2 linked regions of the Notamacropus eugenii genome follow. The protein of the gene in region 1 purifies or fractionates together with the protein of each later gene. This does not show direct contact. Links are inferred from orthologs where the notes say so. Each region holds a gene or a part of one and is shown on either strand. Other genes may lie near its edges.

Region 1 (12,568 bases):
AGTTCTCCCAAAGGTGAACTCAAAAGCCTAACTCCAAGTCCCCTAATTCTCTTGACCTCCTTTTCTTATAGCCTGGGTGATCAGTTGCCAGGGCAACAGGGTCTGTGCTCCTGCCTCCCAGGCTACCCTTACCCTGGGTGAGGGGCTTGGGCCTTGGGCAGAAAAGGGGCACGGAATGAGGGAAGGGGTCTTTTGGAGCAGCAGCTGCATGCTGATGCTGGAGGGAGGGGGTGTGGCAGGGGGAGCAGGAGCAGCTGCAGCCAGGGCCTCAGTGCCCAGCTGCACCTTATTTGTCCCTGGCACTGGGAGAAGCTGATGTGGATAGAATGCTGAACAACGAAGGAATGGAGGGGGGGGGCATCATAAATAAGTGCCCAGTTTGTACGGATGCCCTTCCCTTCCCCCCAGCTTCCACCCCCATCTACTGAAGCTGGGTTCAGAAACCTTTCACCAGAGGTATGGCAGGAGAGGAATAGGGACCCTTAATCTGGACCCTTGGACCAGAAAGGGACTGGCAGAAGGACAGAGAAGTAATTGTGAGGGAGAAGAGGTAGGGCAGGAAAAAAAAAAAAGATAAAGCATTCAGGCCAGTGAAGAATGAGGTGGGATAGCATAGCTCAGGGTTGGCTAAGGTTTAATGTAGTACTATGACCTATGGGGCAATCCCCACCCTTACCCCCACCATCTTTTATTATTAATTCCCCTTCCCTACACACCCCCACACCGACTGTGGAGGACCTTGCCCCAATCTTTCCCAATGCCCACTTCAAGAGCTCAAGCTGGGCATGTCTCAGGGTCTGGCCTTCAGTGGGGAATGCCTGACCTATGGGGCTCATGGCAGGGATCTGTTGCCCTCCAGTAGAACTGGACTGGGTGGAGGGAGACAGAGGAGAAGAAACAGAATTCCAAGCAGCTGCAGGACAGAAAAGCAAGTCCCTATCCAGAGCCCGGGCTGCAGATGAGGAGGAAGAATGCATGTGGCCATATTCATACATGCCTGCGGGTCAATCGGAGCAGTGGAACTTGCACCCCAGCTCCCCACAGAGACTGCCAGGAGAGCCTGAACTTCCCTGTCTGGAAAGGACAAGGGATCTGCCTTCGGGATCCTGAGCTATCCCTCACTGATGGGGGAGGAGGGAAGGTTTGGGGCCGAGGAGCAGTATTAGTGAGAAACAAGGAGATCCTGAGGACAGGATATTTTCCCCTTCTCTTTCTAGTTTCCGACTTCCCAGGCTGCAGTCAGCTAAGCGGCTGCTCTAAGCTAATTGATCGCCAGACTGTTGGCTAAAGTAATAGGGAATTGATATAAGTAACTAAGTGCCTCTGGGGGCAGAAGCCAGGAAACAGTTAGGGGGAGGAGCAGCTGTGGGACTTCAACCTCTCTTGCTGTCCTAGCCTGGATCCAGGGTTATTTATCCTTGAAGGACATGACTTATATGTTCAAACCTAAAGCTATGGACTAAGGATTTAGAGGGGTAAAAAGGGACAAAGCCTAATGGAGTGCCCAGGGATTTTCTACGTGTGGGTAGGGATCGCTACTAAGGCTCCTGAAATGACTCTCCTGAAAACACTCTCAATGTCTGTGACTCTGGGAGAGGAGAATTGAATGCTAAACATTAGACATAGAGATGGAGAAAACAGAGCTAAGGACCAAGTCCGTTCCAAGGGAAAGGATCTAAATCTTGAGAATGGGGATAGGTCTAAGTGGAGGGACCAAGGTGAAATAGCAGGAATGGCATCTGAATCTTGGGAATGAGAGGCTCAAACACCGAGTGATGTCAAGGTGCTTCATTTCACTTACCTCTCATTTTGCTCTATCACAATTCATCTCTTCAGTAAACCTCTATGGTATAGAATTCTTAGGACCCCTGAGCTCCCTGTACTCCTCCCTTTTTTCTCCCTAATATGAGCTGAGAATGGAATATATATGTATACATAAGTGTATGGTGTGTGTATATATATATATATATACACACATATGTGTGTATTACACATATGTGTATATGGTATGTGTGTGTGTATAAATTGAGGAAATGAGTCGTACTTCTTAAACCATTCCCTAGAAAGTAGTCTTAAACAAAGAAAAGGGAATCTGGGGAGTAACTTGTAGGATGGTGTGACTATGATAAGCCCTATTCATATGCTGGTGGTTTTTCAAGGGGACTCTTTCTTTGAGACTTAAACGCTTAAAAGGCATGATAACCAATCTATATATACATCTATATATATGTATACAAATACACCCATCTACATACATGCACATGTACATACATACACACACATATAAATAAAACAAATAGATCAAATGAGATAATATTTGTAAAACATTTAGAACAGTGCCTGGTGCAATGTGGTTATCTCTCTCCTGACTCTGGAGATTTTCCAGTTCCTTTGGGCCAGGACTCTCCCAGAAGTTGCCCTAAGCAATTGATAAGGTTGGGGAAAGTAATTTTAACACACATTGAATTCGGGGATGAGTAGAGAATGAAGCTGGGTGTTAGAATTCCTGGGTTCTATTCTCTGCTGCTAACTTCTCCCCCTCTGCTTTTCATGTCTTATCTCCCTCCTCTGTTCTCCAGTATTTCTTGCTCTGATCCCACCTACTTCCTAGCTGGATTCCTCTTGCGATATTCATTGCCAAGGTATAGCACCTTGCTCAGCTGCTGGAGCCACTGGCAGAAGGGAGAGGAGCCAGTAAGGAACACTCATCATTTTGTGCAGGGTGTGTGTCTATGCACATCTGGGCATCTCTGTAAAAAAAATGTGGGATGTAAATGTTGTGTTTAAATTCATGTCTTATGGCTAAGCCCTTCTACCCACTACTTGGCTCTTTTTCCCATATCGCAGATTCCCACTAAGTCTTCCAGTGCCTTATCATGGCAGGGAGGTGACCCTGGGTCTTTCAGAACCATGCCCACAGAACAGAAGGCCTGGCAGAGGATTCCAAGCTAGAAAGTCTGAGTATAGGCCTGGAAGACTATCATCGGAAGACCATCCTAGCTAAGTTCTAGGAGGTACATCAGTAGAAAGTCAGTCATCACCAAGTCCTGAAAATATATACCAAACTACATTCCATCTTTATCATTCTATAACATGCCAAAAATTGCCATGCCTTTTAAGCATTAAAGTCTCAAAGAAGGGTCTCCTTGAAAAACTACCAGGGTGTGAATAGGGCTCATCATTGTCACACCATTCCACAAGCTGCTCCCCAGATCCTCTTTGCTTTGTTTAAGGCTACTCTCTAGGGAATGGGTTAAGAAGTCTGACTCATTTCCTCAAGATCCATCAAGGCCTTTAAATGTAAATGTTTTCCAAACCATTGGTGTGTCCTTTCTGGGATGAGAAGGGAGCCTTGTAGCCAGAGAAATGTGGTACTTGATGAGGAACCATGCACCTATTCATATGACCTTAATATATTTTGACTGCCAAGGTATCAGATTTGGAAGCAATCTTGCCAAGTTAACAGTCATGTTGCTACTATCTGTAGCATCATCTGACCAGCACAGGGTTTTGTACAACTTTTTGATAATGACCAGGATGTGTGGATACACGTGTGCCCAATTCGAGGAGGGACTATGTGTATGCATGAACCTCTGCATGTATGACAAGGAAAGCTTGTGAGGGTGTATATAACTAGAGGAGAGTATATGAGTATACATAATTAGGGGAGAGTAAATGTGTGTGTCTGTGTGTGTCATTGGAAATATGTGTGTGTGTGTGTGTGTGTGTATACCTCTGTGCATAAAGAAGTATCATAGAATCTATAGCTGGAAGGGACCTTAGAGGCCCTAGTTCAACCATTTACTTTACAGACGGAAAATTGAGGTTCAGAGAGGTTAAATAACTTGCCTGATGTTACACAGGTTTATAAATGGTAGAAATGGAATTTGAACTGAGGTTTATTTGGATGAAATCTATGTCCCTATAGCGTCCATCCATTACAACATACCTCCATTCACAAATGTACACATAAACAATCTTTCAGTTATCTTTTCTGTCTCCGAAAGTGTGACTCCTTCTTCAGCACCATGCACAAAACTCTTTCTCTGTGTGTAATAATAGTAGCAGTAGAAATATGTATATGCATACTTCTATGTGTATAAATAAGTGTATGTACGTTTAAAGCAACTACACATTTGCATGTAACTTAGAGAATGTGCGACAAAGCATATGTAACTTGGTATGCTTGTGTGTGTGATTGTGAAGTTGTATGCAAGATTGCAGCTTAACGAAAGGAAGAATGTCCTAATGTAGGTATCTGATAACTTAGGTATCTGAAAATAGAATTAGGGTTGTGATTTCTCCAGTAGAAATCAGTAAGGGCTGAAAGACCCCTCTTCAGGAATTTTGTAAGGGAAATTAGTACATGGCACAGAATATTAAAGTAAAATGACCCTTAAATTCCCTTCTAATCCCAATTCTGTTGTATGGAAGCAGTTCCTGTAAAGAGAACTGCTTCACTTTAGACACTTCAAACATAGACTGCACTATTATAACTGTGTGTGATTGTAGGGGGTCTTGAGAAGGTGAAGAGCTCCTCTTTGTAACTGTGAGAAAGCAAGCATACGTCCATGGACTAATGTGTGTCAGTGGATACATATCCTGGACCCAGATCTTGCCTATATTTGATGCTTCAAAAACAGATAGATGGAAAGAAACAGATATTCAAAGGCAGGCAGCTCTGGAGAGAGAAGCTCTGGGTGGAGAGTCACATAGGGTGGCAAGACTCCCAGGCTTGGGAAGGGGATGGCAAGGAGTCTGTGATAAAGAGCATTATTAAAGTTCAATGTGTGTATTCGAGATTGCTTCTCTCTGCATGTACTATCAGTGTGTCTTTGTGTGTGCTCTGTGCATGGGTTTGTGGACATGTATTTGAGTGAGTGTGTGCAGCTGTCCCTTCATCAGTTGCTCATCCATCCAACCCCATGGTCCAACCTCAGAAGCCTGTATCACTGAAAAGCTAGGGGAAGATGAGAATTGCTGGTGAGCCCTGAAAAGTTCAAAGTTGTCGAGCCACAGAAGGTCAGAGCCACCCCTGGCAGAAGGAGATGGGGGTGGGTCTGGGAGGAAGGAATCCATTATAGGATGGAGAGGGCTACAAGAGAAAAAAGGGAGAAAAGGCAAAAATCAGGGTGGATGGTGGTAAAGGTTGCCTGATGGGTTCAATATTTCTATACTCTGTGTTCTCTGTGTGTGTGTGCTCTGTGAGTCTCTGCACACAGATGTTGGAGGGATGCAGGAAGAAGGCTATGTGTCTCTGGTTGGAAAAGAAAGATTGCCATGTACAGGGTGGAGTAAAAGTAAGAAGAAAGACAATGCCTGCATGCCCAAATGCAAGAGCATTTATTTTTAGTGATGTTTATGAAGATGTGTGTGTATATGTGTGTATACGTTTGTGTGTGTGTGTGTGTGTGTGTGTGTGTGTATACAAGAATCCAGCTTTCCCTCCTCCCCGGTATATGTATATTTACTTAACCCTGACTCATAACAATAAAATCCCAATGCCAAATTCCCCAAACTTCACTCTGTGTACCCAGTAGGTAGGAGTGAGTGGGGTGGGGCACAGTGCCCTCTCGTGACCACAGAGGACATAAGCATTTGCCCCCAGCTCTAGCTGGGTATTGGACTTTTGGTATGCACAGCACCAGAATCAGGAGTCTGGGAGACAAAAGGCAAAAGACTATATGGCTGCCCTCAAGGAGTTTATAGTCTAGCTGAGAAATCATCATACGCCCTGAAAATGACTAGAGAATCTCTGTACCATTCATCAATTGTATAATTCATAAATATGTTTGGCAAGAACCAGAATCCCTCAGTGGTGATGGTTTATAGAATATCTGAATGGGGTCTCTCTTCCCCCAGTAACTTCTTTCTCACTGTTTCTTTTTGTTTCTACTTCTGTAGCTCTTTGTACTTTTTGAGGTCTGCGATTCTCCATGTTTCTGTCTGTAGCTCCTTGTACATATCTTTCTAATTCTGTCTCCATGTGCCAATTTCTCTGTTTCTTTTGGCCTTTCTGTGTATCTCTCCACATCTCTGCATTTCTTGCTGCATCTCTGCTTTGATATTTTTGTTTTCTCCTGCATTATGTCCCCCCTTCTCAACAAAGAAACTAACTCTAAGAGGCTCACTTTGTCTATGATAGAACCCAGGCGTCCTGGATTCTAGCCACCATCCAGCACAGAGAATCCCTAGGAGTTTGGCTCCTATCCCTCCCAACCTCCCTAGCTTCCCTTCAACATCCTGGCAAAACTCTGAATGCAGCTGGAAGAAATAAAGGGTTACAAAGGAGAAGCAGAGGGAAGGAAAAAGCCTGTATTGGAGCTATGGTTTAAGCAACAGGACTACTCCTCAGGCAGAACAGACCTGGGGTGGGGGAGAGGATTCTTCTAGCATCTGCCTGTTCTCAGCTTGACACAGCAAAACAAGAGTTAACTCTATTTGTCTTTCTCTCCGCCCCTACCCCTCCATCACTGTCCCAGCAAAGGAGACTAGGTTGGGCAGCTCAAGTTCTTCCCCACTGGGCTGAAGTAATCAGAGTCCCCCGAGGGACTGGGGGACCAGGAAGTCTATGAGAGCTGATTGGACCTAAGAGCCCCCCCAGAAGGGGAGAGCTGGATATGTTGGCCTAGGGGCCTGAGAGAAGGAATGCTTGAAGGACTAAAGACACAAGAGAATGAGAAAAGGGCTAAAGGATGGGACAGGAAGCCAGCAAACATGAGCCCTGAGTAGAACTCAGCCTTCAGTCTCAAATCACCCAGCCTGACCTTGGCCCCACAGTTTAGGATAAGATTTCTAGAACTGATGTCTGAAAGACAGTAGGAGAGTGACAGTGGGGGAGGGGGTTGGGAGGTGTTGAGGGGGAGAAGATGGTGCAGGCAAAGAGGTGGAAGAGCAGCCAGGAAGCTTTTTAGGTGATTGAGGGGGTTCTACCCCCACCTCCACCCACCATAATGCCGGGAAATATCTAGCTACAAATGAGTCTGTGGTCACTGAAAGACTTGTGCTAATGGATCTTTGGGCTGCCCTAAAAGCCACAGAGGGAAAGGGAAAGCGGGGGAAGGGGGGGAGGCATCAGTTGGATTTATTGTAGGATGGATGAGGAGAGGAGTAAGAGTCCAATAGAAGGGACTAGAAAAATAGGAGGGGAGTTATAGGGAGAGGTTAGTTAAGTGCTGTGATTTAGAAAGAACTGGAGACCATAGGCTCAGAGGACGGACTAGGTCAGGATGAGATCCAGAAAATGATTATTATGGGTTTGGAGAGTGATTTAAATCAGAACCTGGGGTGTAGGTATTTGTGGGGGGGAGGGGAAGGGGAAGAGGGATTTGCTGAGTCAGTTACTGTGGCTAGATCAAAGATACAAGTGATTATTGGACCAGGACCCTCTGTATTTCATGGGGGAGGTAGAAACAAGGAGCACTGGTCATTCGTTTAAGCAATTGGAATCCTCCAGGATTCTTTGTCTGTGCGGGTGGGTGGATGGGAGTTGTGAGTGGCCTTCTCATAGCCAGTTCCTCATCCCTTAGCTGAAGGTGGTAGGCTCCACTCCTCACTACCTCCCTCTTCTTATAGGCCATCAATTATTCAGCAGCATAGATGACTGAACGGCTCTGCCTCTTCCCCGGCTCCGCCCCCAAGTTCCCTCCCTCTTCTCCCTCTATGTTTCTCACTAAGGGCTCAGGCACAGACAGCTGGACTGCTTGGAGGCACGACTGGCTGGCATTGCCCCTAGTCCAGGCCTGGGCATCTTACCCACTTTTCTTCTTGCTCCTCCCCTTTCCTCTTTCCATCCTTTCAGTCCCGGGGACATCATCCCTCCCTTGATCTCCCCAAGATGCCCATCCAAATTTTCTGTTCTCTGTCCTTCTCCTCGGGTGAGGACCCGGGGACTATAAGAGACAGCTGGGGCTCCAACCAACAGCAGAAAGAGGGATCTGAATCTGAGTCAGAAGAGGAGGAAGAGGAAGAGGAGAAAGAGGCAAAGGAGGAAGAGGAAGACTTAGCTATGGACTTGGTGGCCTTTGCCAACAGTTGTACCCTCCATGGTGCCAGCCATGTTTTTGTGTCAGGAGGCTTAGGGCCACGCCAGGCGTTATGGGCTGCGGCCTTTGCCCTGGCACTGGGCACCTTTTTGTACCAGGTAGGAGATCGGGTGACCTATTACCGAAGCTACCCACATGTGACATTGCTGGATGAGGTTTCCACTTCTGAGCTGGCCTTTCCAGCAGTTACCTTTTGCAACACCAATGCTGTGCGGTTATCCCAGCTCAGCTATCCTGACCTGCTCTACCTGGCCCCACTGCTCGGGCTGGAGGATGGGGAAGACCCTGGTGTGCCCCTTGCTCCACCAGGCCCTGATGCCTTCTCTGGGGAGCCGTTCAACTTGCACCGTTTCTACAATCGCTCCTGCCACCGGCTGGAGGACATGCTGCTCTACTGCTCCTATCGAGGGGGCCCCTGTGGCCCCCACAACTTTTCTGTGGTGAGTCAGGGTCATCCCCCTTCATCCCCAACAACCCAGAGAGCATGGGGCCTGCCTTCCCATTACCTCCAGGGGCATGAGCATCATCCCAATGGCTTCTACTCCAAGTGGCATCTGATCTGTGTCCTACGAAATTCCCCTCCACAATGCCCTTCCCCTAAGAGAGGGGTTGGTTCCTGTAAAAAGACCTTTGCAAGCTTTACCCTTGCCTCCAGTCCATCTCTAGATGATAGATCTGTTTCAGGGCCTTTGGGACAGGGCTTGAAAGTGGGAATCTGAGAAGGGAAAGAAAGAAAGAAAGAAAGAGAGGATTTGAGGTTAGGATCCTCTGAGGTTTGGTCCATATCCAGGAATCTGGTGGACAGAGGGACAAAAGAGAAGAGGAATCAGGAGCTTCTGCCAGGGTCTATTACAAGGTAGAGGTGGGGAGAGGGAGTGGGCAGACAATTAATTGCTTCCCTCTTTCATGGCATCAAGACCAGAGACAAAGGCTTCCTGGGCATTAATGGCCCATACAGAGATATATTCTTCTCTAGTGCTTTTCTAAAGTTCTGTCTTCTATCCCCGCCATGTTGTGTGTGTGTGTGTGTGTGTGTGTATGTGTGTGTGTGTGTTTGTGTGTGTATGTATTACTGCATCTCACAAGGTCAAGACTATATGTGACCAGTAATGGGATATGATCTTCCCATGGCTGGCTTCCCTCCATCTTCAACTATTCTGAATCCTTGGGGAAAGGGTTGCTAGTACTAGGTACTGGGAATCATTCGGGTTCCTGGGGTTCCACTCTCAGAAGGAATCCCAGCCCCAATCTTGCTTAAGAGTTCCAGAGTCTGTACAGTTGGTGTGGTCAGAGGTCACCATGACACCTGTCCTCTCTCCAAGACACCAATTATTTGACTTCTCAAAACATTTTCTGTTCCCTTTCTCTAAAGTCTAGGTTCTAAATCTTGGCAGGAGAAATAGGGGGATGGACAGACTATGTCTCATCAGAAAGAATGGAGACCTGGTAGAAGTATAGCCATTGTGCTCCCAAGCCCATAAGAATAAACAAAAGATCCTACAGAAATAGATACATCAGGAGTAGAGAAGAGAGGATTTAGGGAGAAGGGTTATGTCAGTGCCCAGGGATAAGCTGGCACTTCTCATCTGGAACCACCAGGTGGCAATAGTATCTCATAGCATGATGGGCTAAAATTCATTCCCCCTTTTCCCCACCCCCCACCCTCACTTAGTCCCTTTATTTCCCCAACTAGTGATAGATATTGAATCTTTTGCTTCCTGAAAATCCTCCATAGGACACGTTAGATATTCAAATACTGAATAAACAAATTAATGAAAAATTAGTAAATGAGACACTTTTACCAGAATCATAAAATAATAAAAAGGAAAACATTCTTAGAAATCACCTAATTCTTATTTTTTATTTTAAAAATTATTAATGCCTTTTGTCTTCATATCAGATTTTTTCTCATTGCTCTTTCTGGAATGAATGCTCCCTTGTCACAAAGGAAAACAATTAAGCAGAAATATAGAATACAGATACTGTCTGGTACAGAGACTGTATACAATATTCTGTCCTGGTAGTCCTGTCCATTGTAAGGAAGGAGGTATGTTTCATTATCTCTTCTCTGGGAACTTTGCTGGTTTTCCACTACTGAGAGTTCAACTTCTTTTTAGCAATCTTTACATGATTATAGTTGTTATATACATTAATCTCTTGGTTCTGTTGTTTTTTTTTTGTTTTGTTTTGTTTTTTACTACTTCAGTCCATATAGATCTCCACATTTCTCTGACTTCTTCATAGTTGTCACAGGAACATTATTTTACATACATATGCCATGGTTTTTTTTCAGGCATTTCCCGATTGATGGACAACTCCTTTGTTGCTACCACAAAGAATGCTCATATGAATGTTTTGGTATATACGGGACCTTAATTTCTATCTTTGACTTCCTTGCCCTTTTCCTGTCCCTCTCCAGTTCTGTAGATGAAGAAATTGGAGCCTAGGGAGGAGAAGTGTCATATTCAAGGTCACACAAGTAAATGACAGAACTAAGAGTTGAACCCAGGTCTTTTGACCCCAAATCTGTTGCTTTCTCTAGGATACCACAATACCTTAGCAATACCTAATGATCTTCCTGACGGAGGGGTCTGACTCTATTCAAGAAGACTTCAGATTACTACCACACTCCTCTGGGTCTGGTTGGCAAGTCATTGGGCTTTGATTTGGGATTAAGACAGAAGAATTTAAGAGTCTCAGATCCTATGGTTATGCTAGCTGGACTTAATCCACAAAATGAGGGAAAAGAGTATTTTTCCTGGTTGTGGGGAAGGTCAGCAGGTGTGTCCTAAGGATCTCTAGATTCTGGGACCCTGGACTCTTCTGAGGGTGGGGATTAGGAATCAGCAAAGAAATGGTGTTTTTCTTCCTCATTTCTGACTCTACCATACTCATTTCTCTTTTTCTCCTAAGCTCTCTCTTTACGTGGGGTTTTTAATTTGAGGTCTATGAACTTTAAATAAAAATGTAATTTGGTGGCAGTTTTTTAAAGTATTAATTGGTTTCTTTTGTAATCCTGTGTATTTTGTTTTATGCATTTAAAAACATTATTCTGAGGAGTCCATAGGCTTCACTCAGTTGGCAAAGTAGCAGATCATACACACACACACACTTTAATTACCCTTGAGTTATAGTAATTTTATAATATTCTTTGGGACTCTACACTATTCAAGGGTAACAGTACCCTGGTTATAACCACACACCCTTAGATTGTGGAAAACTGTTATTCTTAATTAGTTCTGTGGGAACATTGGTTTAATAATTATGGACATTTATAAGGTGCTTAAAGTTTGTAAAATATTTTCCATATATTATCCCATTTGATCCTCACAACAACCTCGTGAGGTAAGTACTAGGGGTATTATTATCCCCCTTTTATAGATGAAGAAACTGGAACACAGGGAGATTGTGATTTGCCCATGGTCACATAGCTGGTAAATGTCAGAGGTAGGATTTGAACCAAGTTCATTAGAGCTCAAATCCAATGATACTCCATCCAGTACTCTATCCACCAGACCATGCTTCTTTTCTCCTAAGAGGATCCTGAGAAGATCAAAAGGCATGAGAAGTGGGGGCCATGGAATAAACACTATAGGTCAAGGGCCTTTCTGTCTGTGAGCAGAGAGTTCTTCCGGGCCCTCTGTGGAAATGACTTCTCAAGTGTTCCTTGGTTAGTGGTACTTAGTACCCCAGGAGGTAGCCAGGAAGGGCTGAGGTACCAGTTATCAAAAGGTATTCAGGTAAACCTAGCCCAAGCCCAGCATATTGATTTTGTTTCTGTCCTTACCTTTTTCTGTAATGAGAGAAGCATAAGGAACAAGGGGAGTTCCTCAGGAGAGATAGAGCATGGGATGGCTAAAGTGACCTTTCTCCACTTTGGGGTTCAAGGATTTGGGCCAAAGGCATTGATAGTCTTGGTTATCATTAGGTTGTGGCTGGCATATTGACACAGGATCTGGTGAGTGTGCTTACTGATTGGGCTCCTAGTGCCCAAGGGGCAGAAATGGGCATGACAGTATGGGGAGGGATTAGGTGATAAACTTGGTTTGTGCTATAACTGATAATGAGATAAATTGATTAAGGTTATGGGAGAGGAGAGGAACGTTGGTTATTGGCCAAGAGATACAGGGTGGTGGATCTATGGGGGAGGGACATGAAGGACTGGGACTTGAAGGGGGCCCTATTCCAGAGGGAATGGCACTGTCACATTGAGGGGCAGGGGATATTTTGTGCTGTGTGGCAGGAGGGTTTGGGATCTAGGTAGGCAGGCTAGTTCCAGAAGGATAAAATAGTTCTAGGGGTCAGGAGTCTGGGCAAATCAAGGGTAATTTGCCTTAGTACTGGGGGACAAGAAGGTTCTAGAGGGGAAGGGGCTCAGGCTCAGGTTTTGTCTCTCTGCCTCCCACCAGGTCTTTACACGCTATGGAAAATGCTACACATTCAACGCAGGCCAGGATGGGAGGCCACTGCTCAAGACTATGAAGGGTGGGACAGGCAACGGGCTAGAGATAATGCTGGACATC
Region 2 (12,774 bases), about 73 Mb from region 1:
TAGCCCCCCACCCTTTCACAATATCCCTGGTCATCCAGCCCCTCCCTTCTTCTAGGCATTCGGCTTTTGCCATCTATGAGTCTGACCAGACTATGACTGGTCATCTATGACTTCACCCAAACCACTGATTCACAATGCTGCCCACCACAGCCCTCAAGGAGAAGCTATCTGCCAGCACAGGGCCTTGGTGAGGAGGTGAGCAAGGGGAGTGGCTAGGGGTGGCCCACTGAAGATCTGCCTCTACTCCTGGTACAACTCCAAGTCTGTGGGTCCCAAGGGTAACTTCATACGTGGATGTGGCATCATTTCCTATCTCAGTCCCTACAAAATGCTTGAGGGGATTGGGAATGTCAGGCAGAAAAAAATGTCCTGACCAGTCAAGAATCATTCCTAAGATCGAATAAATCCTCCCCCTCAGAGTTGCTCAAGGTTGAAGAAGGTAACCTGCCCCTCCTTGTAGGGGACCCCAAGAAACCTCCCTGTCTCCCTGCTTCCAAGCCCCCCTACCTGGACAATGTAGAGGCAGGGGCAGTACAAAGCCCCTCCCCCAATGCTGATCCCGATCAGGTTCTGTGAATCCTTCTGCAGTGTCACGGTCCCAGGAACTGTAGGGATGCCACTAGAGTACAGGAAAGGAGAGGGCAATAAAGGCAGGAAGGAGCCAGAACACAAAGGGTAGGGGAGAATCTGCCAAAGTCCCAGGCCACCACCTCCTATGGCCCAAGGCTCTCCCTCCTACCCCCCAACACCCAACAGCAAAGGAACATTCTCTATTCTAAGTCAGATTCTAGACGCCCCTTCTGTGAAGTCTTCTGATATGTACCCTCACGTCTCTGAGGCTGGGGTCATGGAACTGACAACAGGTGAGGCACAGATTCAATTAGCCCCATTTTAGAGATGAAAACGTAGAGGTCGGGAGAGGGACAATAGTCCATGTGTGCCAATGAGGGACAGCGGGAACTCGGGGCTGTTCCCTTGCCCTGCGTGCTGGCATCCACTGAACCAGCAGTTAATCGAGGGCTCCTCATGGAGCTCCAAGAGCTTGTCCAGCCTAGGCCCCCTCATCCTCAGACAGCTGACTGGTGGTAGAGTAAGTCTCCTAGCTCAGAGCCCTTTCCCATCCGCCATAGGACCAACAGTAAAACAACAACATGTCACTGGCTACAAGACAAAAGCAAACGCCAGTCAGTACAGTACAATGGAATAAGCCCTGGGCTAGGGAGGCAAGAGATCCTGCTTCAAGTTTTCCCTCCAACACTTCCCAGGTGGCCTTGGGCCAATTCCTTGTTTCTGAACCCCAGAGGTAATGGAGGTAATAATGAAGGTAATGGAGGTAATAACCCTTGTACCACCCACCTCAAAAAGTTGCTGTGAGCAAAAGACTTTGTAAATCTTAACACCCTATAGCAATGCGAGATGTCATTACGATTCATCTTTGTGCTCTCTGACCCACCAAGCCCCGAGTAAGTGCTGAGTAAATGCTTGATGAGGGCTGGCCAACTATCAATCGATCAATCAATCACCAAGCATTTGTGAGGTGTCTACCCTGTGCCAGGCCCTGTGCCCACCTCTGGGGATACACATACCAAGAATGAAATGGGCCCGACCTCACAAAGCCTGCATGCTCACAGGGGAAACAACAAGGGTCTTCATCACTGCAGACACAAGGTAATGAAGTACAAGGATGGGCACAGGCAGCTGGCAGGGGCTGCTTCTTGCAGGGAGGGGAAGGAGTAAGAGGCCAGTCTGGCCACCCAGCAGGTCTTAACCCACCATTCTACAAACCTGAAAGCCCTTGGGTCAGAGCAGGCCCTGAGCTAAAAGAGGGAGGACAGCCACATCCCTTCCCCAGATTAATAAATAAACACACTTTAGGTCTCTCAGATATACTGTGCTCTATACTTGGTAACCTTAAGGCTTCAAAGACAGTACCTGCCTCTGAGGAGCTCATTCTAGTTCAGGGGCTCAGACAAGATTTTGGGGATTGCTCCTATACCTCATGAAGGACTGGAATGTGTTAGGAATCCAAGATGTTGATGGGGGAGTCAAGGGAGGAGAGATGGGAGGGGAGGGGAGGAGAGGAGAGGATGGATGTTGAAATTGATGCCCTCCCCAGGAGGACTCCCTATGAATCTTGGGGATATAAGGTCTGGTTGGTGCCTAAAGTGCTATCCCCATCTTACAGATGAGGAAACTGAGGCTAGCAAAGGTTAAGTGACTTGCCTGGTGTCACAAACATATCTGAAGGAGGATTCAAACTCAGGTCCTCCCAATTCTAAGTCCAGCTGTCCAGGTAAGGTTTAAAAAATCAACAGGTAAGGATTCAGACTTGCCTGTGGATGGGGCTGGAGCCTCAGGCCTCACAGGTCCTGGGTTCTAGTCCTAGCTCCTACTAGGCACAAGGCCTAAAGGACACTGGGCAAGTCACAGAATTTCTCAGTAAAATGGAGAAATTGCTTTGTTCCCCTCACAGGACAGCTTTGGGAAATATTAAGACATTAACAATGCAAGTTATTACTAAGGAAGAAAAGCAAGTCTTAATCACTAAGGGTTTTGTAAGCACCTATTGTGTGCTGGGCTCTGAGCCCTCAGGAACCTTCCATTCTCTGGGGGAACAAGCAGTGCAGAGCTCAGCACAACCGCTCAGATCTTAGACCCCTCCCTTGTTCACTCCCACCCCTTACACAGGAAGGGGAAAGACCTCTGTGGCCCCCCAATCCCCTCACTGCACCCGCTGGGGGATACATGGAGAGGAAGCCTGGAGAGCTGGGATTTCAGTCACGGCCTGAAGGGGCTTCCAGTGATACCCTCAGAAACTGTATTTAAATGAATGTTAAATTTTTTTTACATGTAACTGGGAAATAGTTAACGAAATACATAAAATATATACTCTTAAAAAAGATTCAGAGTTAGCAAAGCCTTTGGAGATCATCTACCCCACTGATTTATGAAGGAGGAAGACCAGGCCCAGAGAAGGCACACTTGGGAGTAAGCAGCAGGGCAGGACCCCAGTCCAGGGCTTCAGACTCCAAATCCTGCACTAAGCCAAGCTGGTAAGGATGCAGTGAGGTCTCAGGGTGAAGGGTTTGGGACTTGGGGCCAGGAGGGCTTGATGGGGGGAGGTGGGAGATGTTGGGCAGGCAAGATGTGTAACTTCTCAGACTTGGTTTTCTCATCTGTAACATGGGAAAAGAAGGCAACAGGGTCAGAGTGAGGGGTCTGGATTTCCTAGCTCAAATCTGGCCTCAGACGCTAGCTATGTGACCTTGAACAAGTCACTTAATTTATTCACCTCAGTTTCTTCATCTGTCAAATGATCTGGAGAAGGCAGTGGCAAACTTCTCCAGTATCTTTGCCAAGAAGACCCCAAACAGAGTCACTGAAAACAACTGAACAGCAACACCGGGAGAGGGGCTCTCACTACTACCACCTCTGAGGCTTGAAAGGAAACCTATGTGGTGACTTAGAGCAGGACTAACAGGCTGTGTTGGCCTCCAGTGCCTGCCCGTCCCCTGATGTGACATCTGTTCCACACCTATGGCCACCCACAAGGAACACTAGGGCATCTGGGAGGATGGGGACAGAGCCAGGCTGGACTTGTTCTGGGGCTCTCTGGGGTCCAGGAAGAGACTTCAGTGGGGCCCTCACCTAAGCCACACCCAACAAGAGTAGCCTTGCAGCCTCTACTAGGAGACCTCCAAGGAGGGAGTCCCTACCTCACTGACAGCAGCCTGGCCTACTTCTGGACAAGTTGAATTGTTAGCCAGCTTTCCCTGACATTAACCCAAGGTGACTTCTTTCGATCTCTTTTCCCACTGCTGTTGGTGCTGCCCGGTGGTACCAAACAAGATCAGCCCAACACTTCCCCTGAATTGTGGCCGTCAGGCATGAAGAAAGCTTGCCTGGCTCCCGGGCCTTCTGGTCCCCAGGCTGCACGTGCCCAGATGTGCTACACCCCCTCCCCACCATTGTGGACACTTCCAGATTGTCAATGTTCTTCTCAGACACAGGTGCCCAGAACAGAAAACAATCCCCTCAGAATAAGGCGGGACCTTCCGTCACCTCTCAAACCCCATAAAAAAATGCTCTTTAGGGACACTCACAGCTTATCCTCCTCAATGTCATAATCCATGTCGGCAAACATGATTCCAAGGTTTGGGACAGGCTGGCCTCGAAGACTGATGGTCCAGTTCTGTAGGGAAAGGAGAACAAAAGTCTCAGAGAACTCAAGTGATGATGGAAGAAGGTCCTGAGGTCCCATCCCCCTTCTCTCCCCTGTACCTGCCATAGGTCCCAGCTCCTCACCCTCCCTGGAAGGCCAGATGAGGAACAAGGAATACTGAGATCTTCCCATGGCTTATACCTGGAGAAGGACGTCACAGTCCCCCTTCCCTTTCTGTCACATCTGGAGGTGTATGGTCTGCTCATGCCCCTTCCTTCCTATAGAACTTTAAGATGATTTCCAGGGGAGTCACTTTTAGTAACCAGAATCTAGCCCGAGCACCTTATTTTACCAATGAGTTCAGAAATGTTAAATGACTCGTTAAGCAGATGCAGGTAGTGAGCCGGTATATAAGTGTAGTAGTAAGCAAGCAAAGCTCTTACTAGGCCCCTACTACGTGCCTGACACCAGGCACTGAAACGTGCTGGATGTGGAAGGCCCTGATTTTAAATCTTTTCCATCTTGACTCTGTGATTTGCTTTCTACATGTTTTTCTTACTCAGAAACTTTTCTTGTTTCCAGGTTGTCCAGGCTCTTATGGAAATTTGTTGTAATAATAGTTATGTGGAAGTATTTTTAATCACTTCTGTTTTATAGATGAAGAACCAGAAGCTAAGACTTGGCCAGGATCACAAGGCCTTCAGAGTCACAGTGAGAATCTCAGGCTCTTACTAAACCTGGGGCAGGTCCTGGCAGTCTCCGCCTCCCATGGCAACAAAGGAGAGCCCCCATCCTTAGCCCCCGTCCCCTGCTCTATGGTCCCCGGAGCTCCCATGTCCTGATCAGGCTGCTGTCCCTGGCTCCCCTCAGCTCAGGGGCCAGGGAGAGACCCTCCCTTTCCAGGCCTGGAGCTAGAGAATGGTTTACAATACAAAGAACATTTATTAAACACCTATAGTATGCACGGCACCATGGTAGATTTTGGGGGAGAAACCAAGTTTCTGTAAATGGAAGAGATAAGCATTTATCCAGCACCTACGATGTGTACAGTGGAGGAAACTGGGGCAGAAGTTCAGACTGCCAGGGAGGCTGGATTTGACCTGGGTCAGGGATGCACCTACTTCCCCATCTCCTCCCAAACTGCCACACCCACCAGTCCAGTGCCAGGATGGGTGTGGGAAGGAGGTGGTCCCAGCATTTGTGGGGGGCGTCCTCCCCACACCCCTCACCGTCTAAGGACAGGAAAGTGGGTAGGGGGCGTTCTTGTGCCCTGCCCCCTTCCTAGACCCACCCAAACCTCCCACGGCCCCTCCCTTCTCAGTTCCAAACCTCCATGGCTAAGCCCCGCCCCTGTAAGTTTCTCCCCCTAGGGTTCCATAGCCCCCTCCTCCACTCTTTTTCAACCATTGGCCCCGCCCCTCGTTTAAGCCCCGCCCCCTCAATCCTCCCCCAGACCACAAGCCCCGCCCCCGCCTCCTAGCGTTCTAACGCCCCACAGGCCACTGCATGGACGCCCCGCCCCTTCGCTCTAAAGTCCCGCCCCGCCGTCTGGCCCCGCCCCCGTTCCCGTCAGCGCGCGGGGGCGGAGCCCCTTTTCTTACCACGTCGGGGATGATGAACTCGGACCTCTGCCTCCTTTTGCCAAACAGGAAGCTCACTGCCCCGGCCGCCCGCCCCCGGGGGCCTGTCCCCGGAAGCGGCGGCCGCCCCGGGGCCCGGGCCGGGTTCGGGCCGCGTCGGCAATTGGAGTCACCGGCCGCTCTACCTGCCCGAGGCCGCGACTGTTGCGTCACTTCCCGGGCGGGGCCGGAAGTCCCGTCCCTTTCGTTCCAACACTTCCTCCGCCTCCTGACCCTCTTATTTCCGGTTTCCTCTCGAGCTCCCCGAGCGCTTAAGGGAGCGGAAATGGGGGCGGGAATTCCACGTCGCCGTAGAGACCGGCTGAACGTGGCAGCGAATGATTGGGTCAGAGAGGCTTGGCGCCGCCCCCCGCCCTTGCACACAGTCCTCCGGACTACGGGCATCATTTCGCGTTCCCAAAGCTTTCCGTGGTTCGCTGCGGCCTCGTGCAGCCTGGGCCTCGTGCAGCCTCGGCGCCGGCCGTCACAGCCCCCGCCGGAGGGAGCGCGAGGTCACCGGGCGCGCCCCGCATTGTGCAGCCGCGGGGCAGAGGGGGCCGGGGCCCTTGGCGGGCGGGGGTGGCGCAGGGATGCGGGGACACCTTGGGCGGGCAGAGCCCCCTGCTGCCCCAGGTCCGCGATCCCCGCGGCGGGCCCGGAGCCAGGCCCGGGGGCCGCTCAGCGTCCTGGCGCCCCTGGTTTTGGCCTTAGTTGGCTTCGAATGTCCTGGAGGCCTCCCTGCCTTCCGAAGCCGCCCTTTCCCACCTGGGGCGCGGTCTCCTCGTGAGGGGCTCTCTGTGTGCACCCAGCCCGGGGGTGCGGAAGCGCTGAACACCTGGCAGTGCCTTGCACTCTGCCCAGTGCCCAGGCCACCTGACTCCGTCCCAGACCGCCGCTCCCTTGATTCCCTCTTGCCCCCCGCTGTCCACTTCTGGCCATTGTGGCAGATTTCAGGATTGTGACCGCCCGCTGTCGGGGTTCCGATAAACCTTGTCCTGGGCTGACAGCAGGCTTGGGTTGGTCGGAGCAGGGCCCGCGAGCCCCTGTTCAGGGTCCCAGAAAGCTGTGGAAACACAGAGGGGGTCTAGATGGGAATGAGGGACTGGTGGTCTAGGAAGGAGCTGGGTGCGGACAATGAAGGGGCAGCTGATTAACCGGGAAGGCCCGATGGCTTCAGGAGAAAGCCCGAGGCTTGGGCCTCGTGGGAACGTCCGGGGGCTTTTCCTTTTCGGGGTTCAGGTCCCATCCCCACAATTCCACCCTCCTAGAGCTTACGTTCTCTTGGCGTACTCAGCGTCTACTCTTAGCAACGTATAAAGTTAGGAACTAGTCCTGTCAGATGTAGAAACCAGTACAGCAACATGCATTTTTATTAAACGTTTCCCCGACTTAGATTTTAATCTGGAAGCTTCATTGGCAGCTCTGCAATGGGGAACTCCCAGGCGAAGAAACTCCCTCTACTGATGCAGGTGGCACCTCCTCCGAAACTTACAATCATAGAATTGAGTAGTTCAGTGAATTGGCCTCGTTGTGTTCGTTTTTGTTGCCGAAGAAGACCGTGCCATCAGAGAAATAATAACATGACTTGCACTTGACTTTGTTTTGAGTGAGGGAGGGCTGTGCAGGTCACCAGCCTCACTTCTCCAGAGCCATCTGAATCCAGGGACCAGATATTCATCAGGATGACTGGAGATGACCCAGGATGAGGCAATTGGGGTTAAGTGACTTGCCCAAGGTCACACAGCTAGTGAGTGTCAAGTGTCTGAGGTGAGATTTGAACTCAGGTCCTCCTGACTCCTGCAATGGTGCTCTATCCATTGCACCGCCTAGCTGCCCCCTCACTGTATGTCAGAAGGGAGCTGAATCCAATTCTTCCTGGCCTTGAGGCCAAGTCTCCATCCACTATGGCAGGATGTCAAGGTAGTTTTTACAGAGGAAAACACTTGGAGGTGGGGAAAGGGGGATCAGAAAAAGCCTCATTCTGAGCCCAGCCCTTGAACTGGAATTTGAAGGATTAATTAGAGGATTCTAAGATTTTAAGTGAGGAGAGAGTGCATTCCAGGCATGGGCTTCAGTCAGTGCAAAGACATGGAGACAGGAAATAAAAATTGAGTGAGGAAAAGCCAAAAAGTCCAGTTTGGCTACTCTACAGAATGCATTGGGCCAAGCAGATTGAGACCCTCTTCTATGGAGCGCCTTTATAGGTCCCATCTAAGTCTTTTTCCCAGTTCCTTCAGTTCATCCAAAAACAGCGTGAACTCCAGGCCCATCTTCCAGTCACCCTCCTCTGGATGCCCAAATATGGCACCTAGCACTGAGCACACTCAGCAAAGTACATCGAACTGTCACCTCTCTTGTTCTGGACACTGCCTCTCAATAACATCACATTAGCCTTCTTAGGTGCCATTTCCTACTACGCTGGTGTTCAGCTTGTGGTCCACTAAAAGCCCCATATCCTCTTCAGATAAACTGTTCTACAGCCACACCTCCCATGTTGTACTTAGGAAGCTGGATTTTTTAAGCACATGGAAGATTTCACCTTTACCCCTATTTATTGTTATTGCATTTGATTTGGCTCTATGTTCTATCTGGTCAAAGTCCTTTTGAATATGGCTAATCTATTGTGTTAATTATTTTAGTTTTGTGTAATCGGCAAATCTGATGTGTGCTATCTGTACCTTTATCCAAGTTATTAACTAAAAGAGTAAATGACAGGGCAGGGTCAAGCACTGGGAGACCTTCCAAGTTGACACTGAACCAGAATGGCAGCACTGGGGCCAGTTAACTAATTCCAAATTCATCCTTTCCAATTTGTCCAGAAGAATACTATGAGAGACTTATGATACGCTTTTCTAAAATAGGTGAACTACCTATTGCATCTCTTTCCTAGATTCAGGAGTCTAGTATCCCTGTCAAAAGAAGAAATAGAGTTAGGTTGGTATGACTCATTGGTGAAGCCATGCTGGCTCTTGGGGATTGCTGTTTCCATATCTAGACATTATTAATCATCTTTTTAATAATATAGCGTAGACTATTTCTAAAGGCCTTTTCAGGTCTGGTATTCTATGAAATAACTCACAGTTATAAACAAAATACTCAGCATGTATTACCTCATTTAATTTTCACAACTCTAAGGTAAACACTCATATTTTACAGCTCAGGAAACTGAGGCAAACAGAGGCTAAGTGACTAGCACACAGCTATTAAGTGTCTGAGGTCAAATTTGAATTGATCTTCTTGACTCTAAGGGGCAGTCTCCAGTGGTCCTGATCAATATCTTATCACTAGAACCAAATGATTCCAAGGGAGAAAGTGAGACTTATGACCTTGCACAGTCCCCTCTCACTTAAATCCAATTCGCTTGCAAGTCATGGCATCATCTTCCTCATGGACAAGCATCAGTCTTGACTCCTTAAGTCCAGCTTTCTTTCCACTGCGCCACGTAGCTGCCTATCCCATCAATCTATTCTTATTTAAACACAGCTTTTACTGTGAGATAAGATAAAAATGAAAACTAATAAATATAAAATTGGGCAAGTTAGTAAAAACATATAATTCATAATAAGGGATTTTAATTTTTGATTAATTATTGAGCTCTTCAGCTTCAGTATATTGAAAGAATACATAATTTCTTGAACCTTTGGTTTGAAAAAAAAAAATGAGCATTTGCCCTGATTCCCAATACAGTGTAAGAGACGAAAATTTGAAGGAAGAAACAATTCCAAACTTTTTATATAATAAAATAAATACTTGAAGGTAGGTCTCACTTCCCCCCCAAAATATGCCTTGTATAAAACCTCTATGACCTATTCAGCTTCCAGAACAGATTGTTTAATTTTCATTGTGAGCCTTTACGCCTCAGAAATCCACAAGCACAACAAATCAGTTTGAATTTATTGTTTTATTGACTGTCTGAACCTTAAAGTGGAGAAAGTGTTCATGCAGATTAGATTTAAAAGTGTGCCCTCCCTACAGTTTTTTTAAAAGAGCCTTGATTGTTACTCATTTACGAAAACACTCCCGCTTAAACTTAATGTTATACTTCAATGTATATCTGTTTGTTTCCCTTTCAAAGAGATCCGAGGTGATCTTTATTGAAGTTTCTGCAAATCTGAATGTCTGATCACCAATTCATAGTCAAGTCTAAATGGTGGAGTTGTCTGCTTTACCTGCTTTCTGAACAATGATCACCAGAGCTCTCTGGTCTGTCTTCCAGCCAATTCCCATCTTTCCTCTATATTTTAATGTAGTATCAAGTCACCAGATAAACTCAAGGTCTTGAGTTGCCTTTAAGCACCTGTACATTCGGCATGATACCAACCATATTCTGAATTGGTGGAATCTTGTCAAGGTTCTTTTTCAATGAAGGAATGCTTCCTTACTTCTAGTTGTAATAGAGAGGAACTACTTCCTTGGGCTTTTCCATTTCTTTTGTTCTAGTTTGGATTTCCCTTCAAAACTTCGTGAATTAATAATGTTTCTTTGAGATATAAACTGTTACCAAGGTTTGTTTTTTTGAGGGAGGGAAGGCTGTTCATTTGAGATTCTTATGTATCCATGAAAATATGCAAATATTCCTTTGTTTTCTCTTAAATGTTTGTTAGTAAACAGTACATTCACACATAAATTCGTGGTCTAATTTTGCTACACACAGGAAGAGAGCAAAATACTCATGGCACTCCTTTACAAGGATAGTGTGAGTCTTAAGTGAGATAGCAGATATAAAATGCTTTGCCAGTGTCAAAGCTGTACCCCACAAATGCCAGGTTTCTTTCTCCTCTTCCTGTTTAATTCTAAGTCCACTTATCAGGGTCAAATCAGCAGAGGTATACCATGTACCAGGCACTGTGCTAAGCTTTGAGGATACAAATAGAAGGAAAAGAAGGTTGATTGCTGCCCTCAAAACATTTCCATTGTAATGGGAGATGACATCACATAAAAAGGAGTGGACAAAAGGGGAAAGAGGAAGGTGCCAAAGTCTAGAGAATGAAGGATGGCTGCTTTAGGTGCTTCCTCCTGGTTGAGTGGTGCTTGAGCAGAGATGAGGGAGTGAGTGCTTTCCAGGTGTGAAGTAACAACCCGTACAAAGTCACAGAGGCTGAAGGTGGAGAAGCTTGTGGGAGGAATAAAGCCAGTGTGGTCCAACCATCCCTTCCTGTGCTTCAGCTACAATGTTATTGAGTCGTTTCCGTCGTGTCCAACTCTGTTATGATTCCATTTGGGGTTTTCTTGGCAGAGACTGCAGTGAGTTGTCACTTCCTTCTCCAGATCATTTTACAGATGAGGAAACTGAGGCAAACAGGGTGAAGGGACTTGCCCAAGGTCACACAGCTAGGAAGTATCTGAGGCCAGACTTGATGAGTCTTCTTGACTCTGTGCACTATGATGGCATCACTTGGTTGCAACTACCTGGATCGTGGAATTTAAACTGTACTTCCTGGTACGTGCTCGGAGCGAACATTCAAGAAATGTTTTTGTTTTTTAATATCTTAGGTATGAGGAACTCCCAATGAGGAAGCTCCCTCCACCAATGCAGGTAATGCACTTGCTCTACAACTTATCTTGGAGAGCTTCCTAGGTCCAAAGTTACAAAGCCAGTATGTGTCAGCATTCGAACCCAGGTCTTCCTGACTCTGAGACTGGCTCTCTAACCACTGGGCAGAACAGCCTCTCCTGATTAATTTGCTAATCTGATTAACTTATTAGATAGAATTGTCAGTGCTCTACCCTCTGCCTTTGAGGCCCCGCTGCTCCTGGGGCTCCCTCGGAGCCTGGGATGGCAAACCCAGTCTCAAAGATAGGACTGGCTGGTTCCCTTGGGGGGAGGTAAACAGGGGAACCCGGAAGCACCCTTGATTCCTGGGGAAATGCTGCCACCTTGTGGGCACTGGGGAAATGTCACAGCTGGGATTCCCTTCACCAGCACAAAGGGGTAATACTGGATCTGGTTAGCAATGGAGAGAACCACCTTCCCAGGCACCATGGACAGTCACCAAAGGGGTGACCTGCTTAGTGAAATGGGAGAGCCAATTAGTATCTGTGTGATGTTGCGGAAAGAGTCCTAGGTCTGACATCAGAGGACCCAGGTTCAAACCCTGTCTGATGCATCTACCCTGTGTGACCTTGGCAAGTCATTTCCCTCCCTAGGTCTCAGTTTCTTCCTTTGTAAAATGAGAGGCTTGGACTAGATGACTTCTGAAGTCCCTTCCTGCCCTTTTAGAACATGATCTTCTGATCTTCCCCACCAGGCCACCTCAGAAAAACAAGAAAAGTAATGAGGCCCTTTGCATACACCCCTTAATGGTAGTCTTTTCTTTTAGCCTATTTTATTTTTTTAATGATTTTAAATAATTTATTTTTTTGTTATTCCACACTTCACAAACACTAACTAGCAACTGAATTTCTGTATGCAAAAAGAACAGTTAAAAGAAGATTGTACACTGACATCTTTCTCTCTCACAGGTCCTTTATAATCAATTCAGACAAGTCATTTACTAAGCACCTGGGAGAGCACCTGTTCCAGATGCTGAAGGACACATAAAATGTAGATAGAAGATGGAAAATGTAACTAAAATATGATCCCTGACCTTATGAAGTTTTCAGTTTAATGTGACAAATAATACATGTTCATAGATTTAAGACAGAATGTGTAAAATACATAAGAGAACAAAGCTATATTATTATAATCCCCCAAACTCACCCCTCTTCCCTAATCCTGTTCCTATCAAGGATACCAGCATCTTGATAGTGTGCAGCCTCAGAACCATGGACAGATGCAGCTAGGTAACCCATAGGCAGGTGATATAGGGGGTCTCAGCCCCCCAGGAAACTCTGTGCAGTAGCCTGGCTTCTTGGGGCCTGGTCTGTCCAGCTTACATTCTAATGGAGAAGACAAAGTGAAAAGGAGAGGGGAAGGTATTGGGGACAGGGCAGGAGGGGTAAGGAGGGGGGGACTTAATGGAGAAATCCAGATAGTCCCAGTGGGAAATGAAA

The links.
Region 2: the proteins of ASIC1 (region 1) and PICK1 purify together in Homo sapiens (affinity purification with western blotting; 3 studies listed by BioGRID and IntAct, with this or other methods). This does not show direct contact. The link is inferred for Notamacropus eugenii from reciprocal best matches to the Homo sapiens genes ASIC1 and PICK1.

The regions. Positions count from the first base shown.
Region 1 is NC_092874.1:222,182,188-222,194,755, forward strand, and holds the start of ASIC1 (acid-sensing ion channel 1), read left to right. Parts: upstream 1-7,740; 5' UTR 7,741-7,837; coding exon 7,838-8,485; intron 8,486-12,454; coding exon 12,455-12,568. UniProt on the Homo sapiens protein: Forms voltage-independent, pH-gated trimeric sodium channels that act as postsynaptic excitatory receptors in the nervous system, playing a crucial role in regulating synaptic plasticity, learning, and memory.
Region 2 is NC_092874.1:295,538,918-295,551,691, reverse strand, and holds the start of PICK1 (PRKCA-binding protein), read right to left. Parts: upstream 6,205-12,774; 5' UTR 6,190-6,204; coding exon 5,764-6,189; intron 4,193-5,763; coding exon 4,104-4,192; intron 620-4,103; coding exon 508-619; intron 1-507. UniProt on the Homo sapiens protein: Probable adapter protein that bind to and organize the subcellular localization of a variety of membrane proteins containing some PDZ recognition sequence.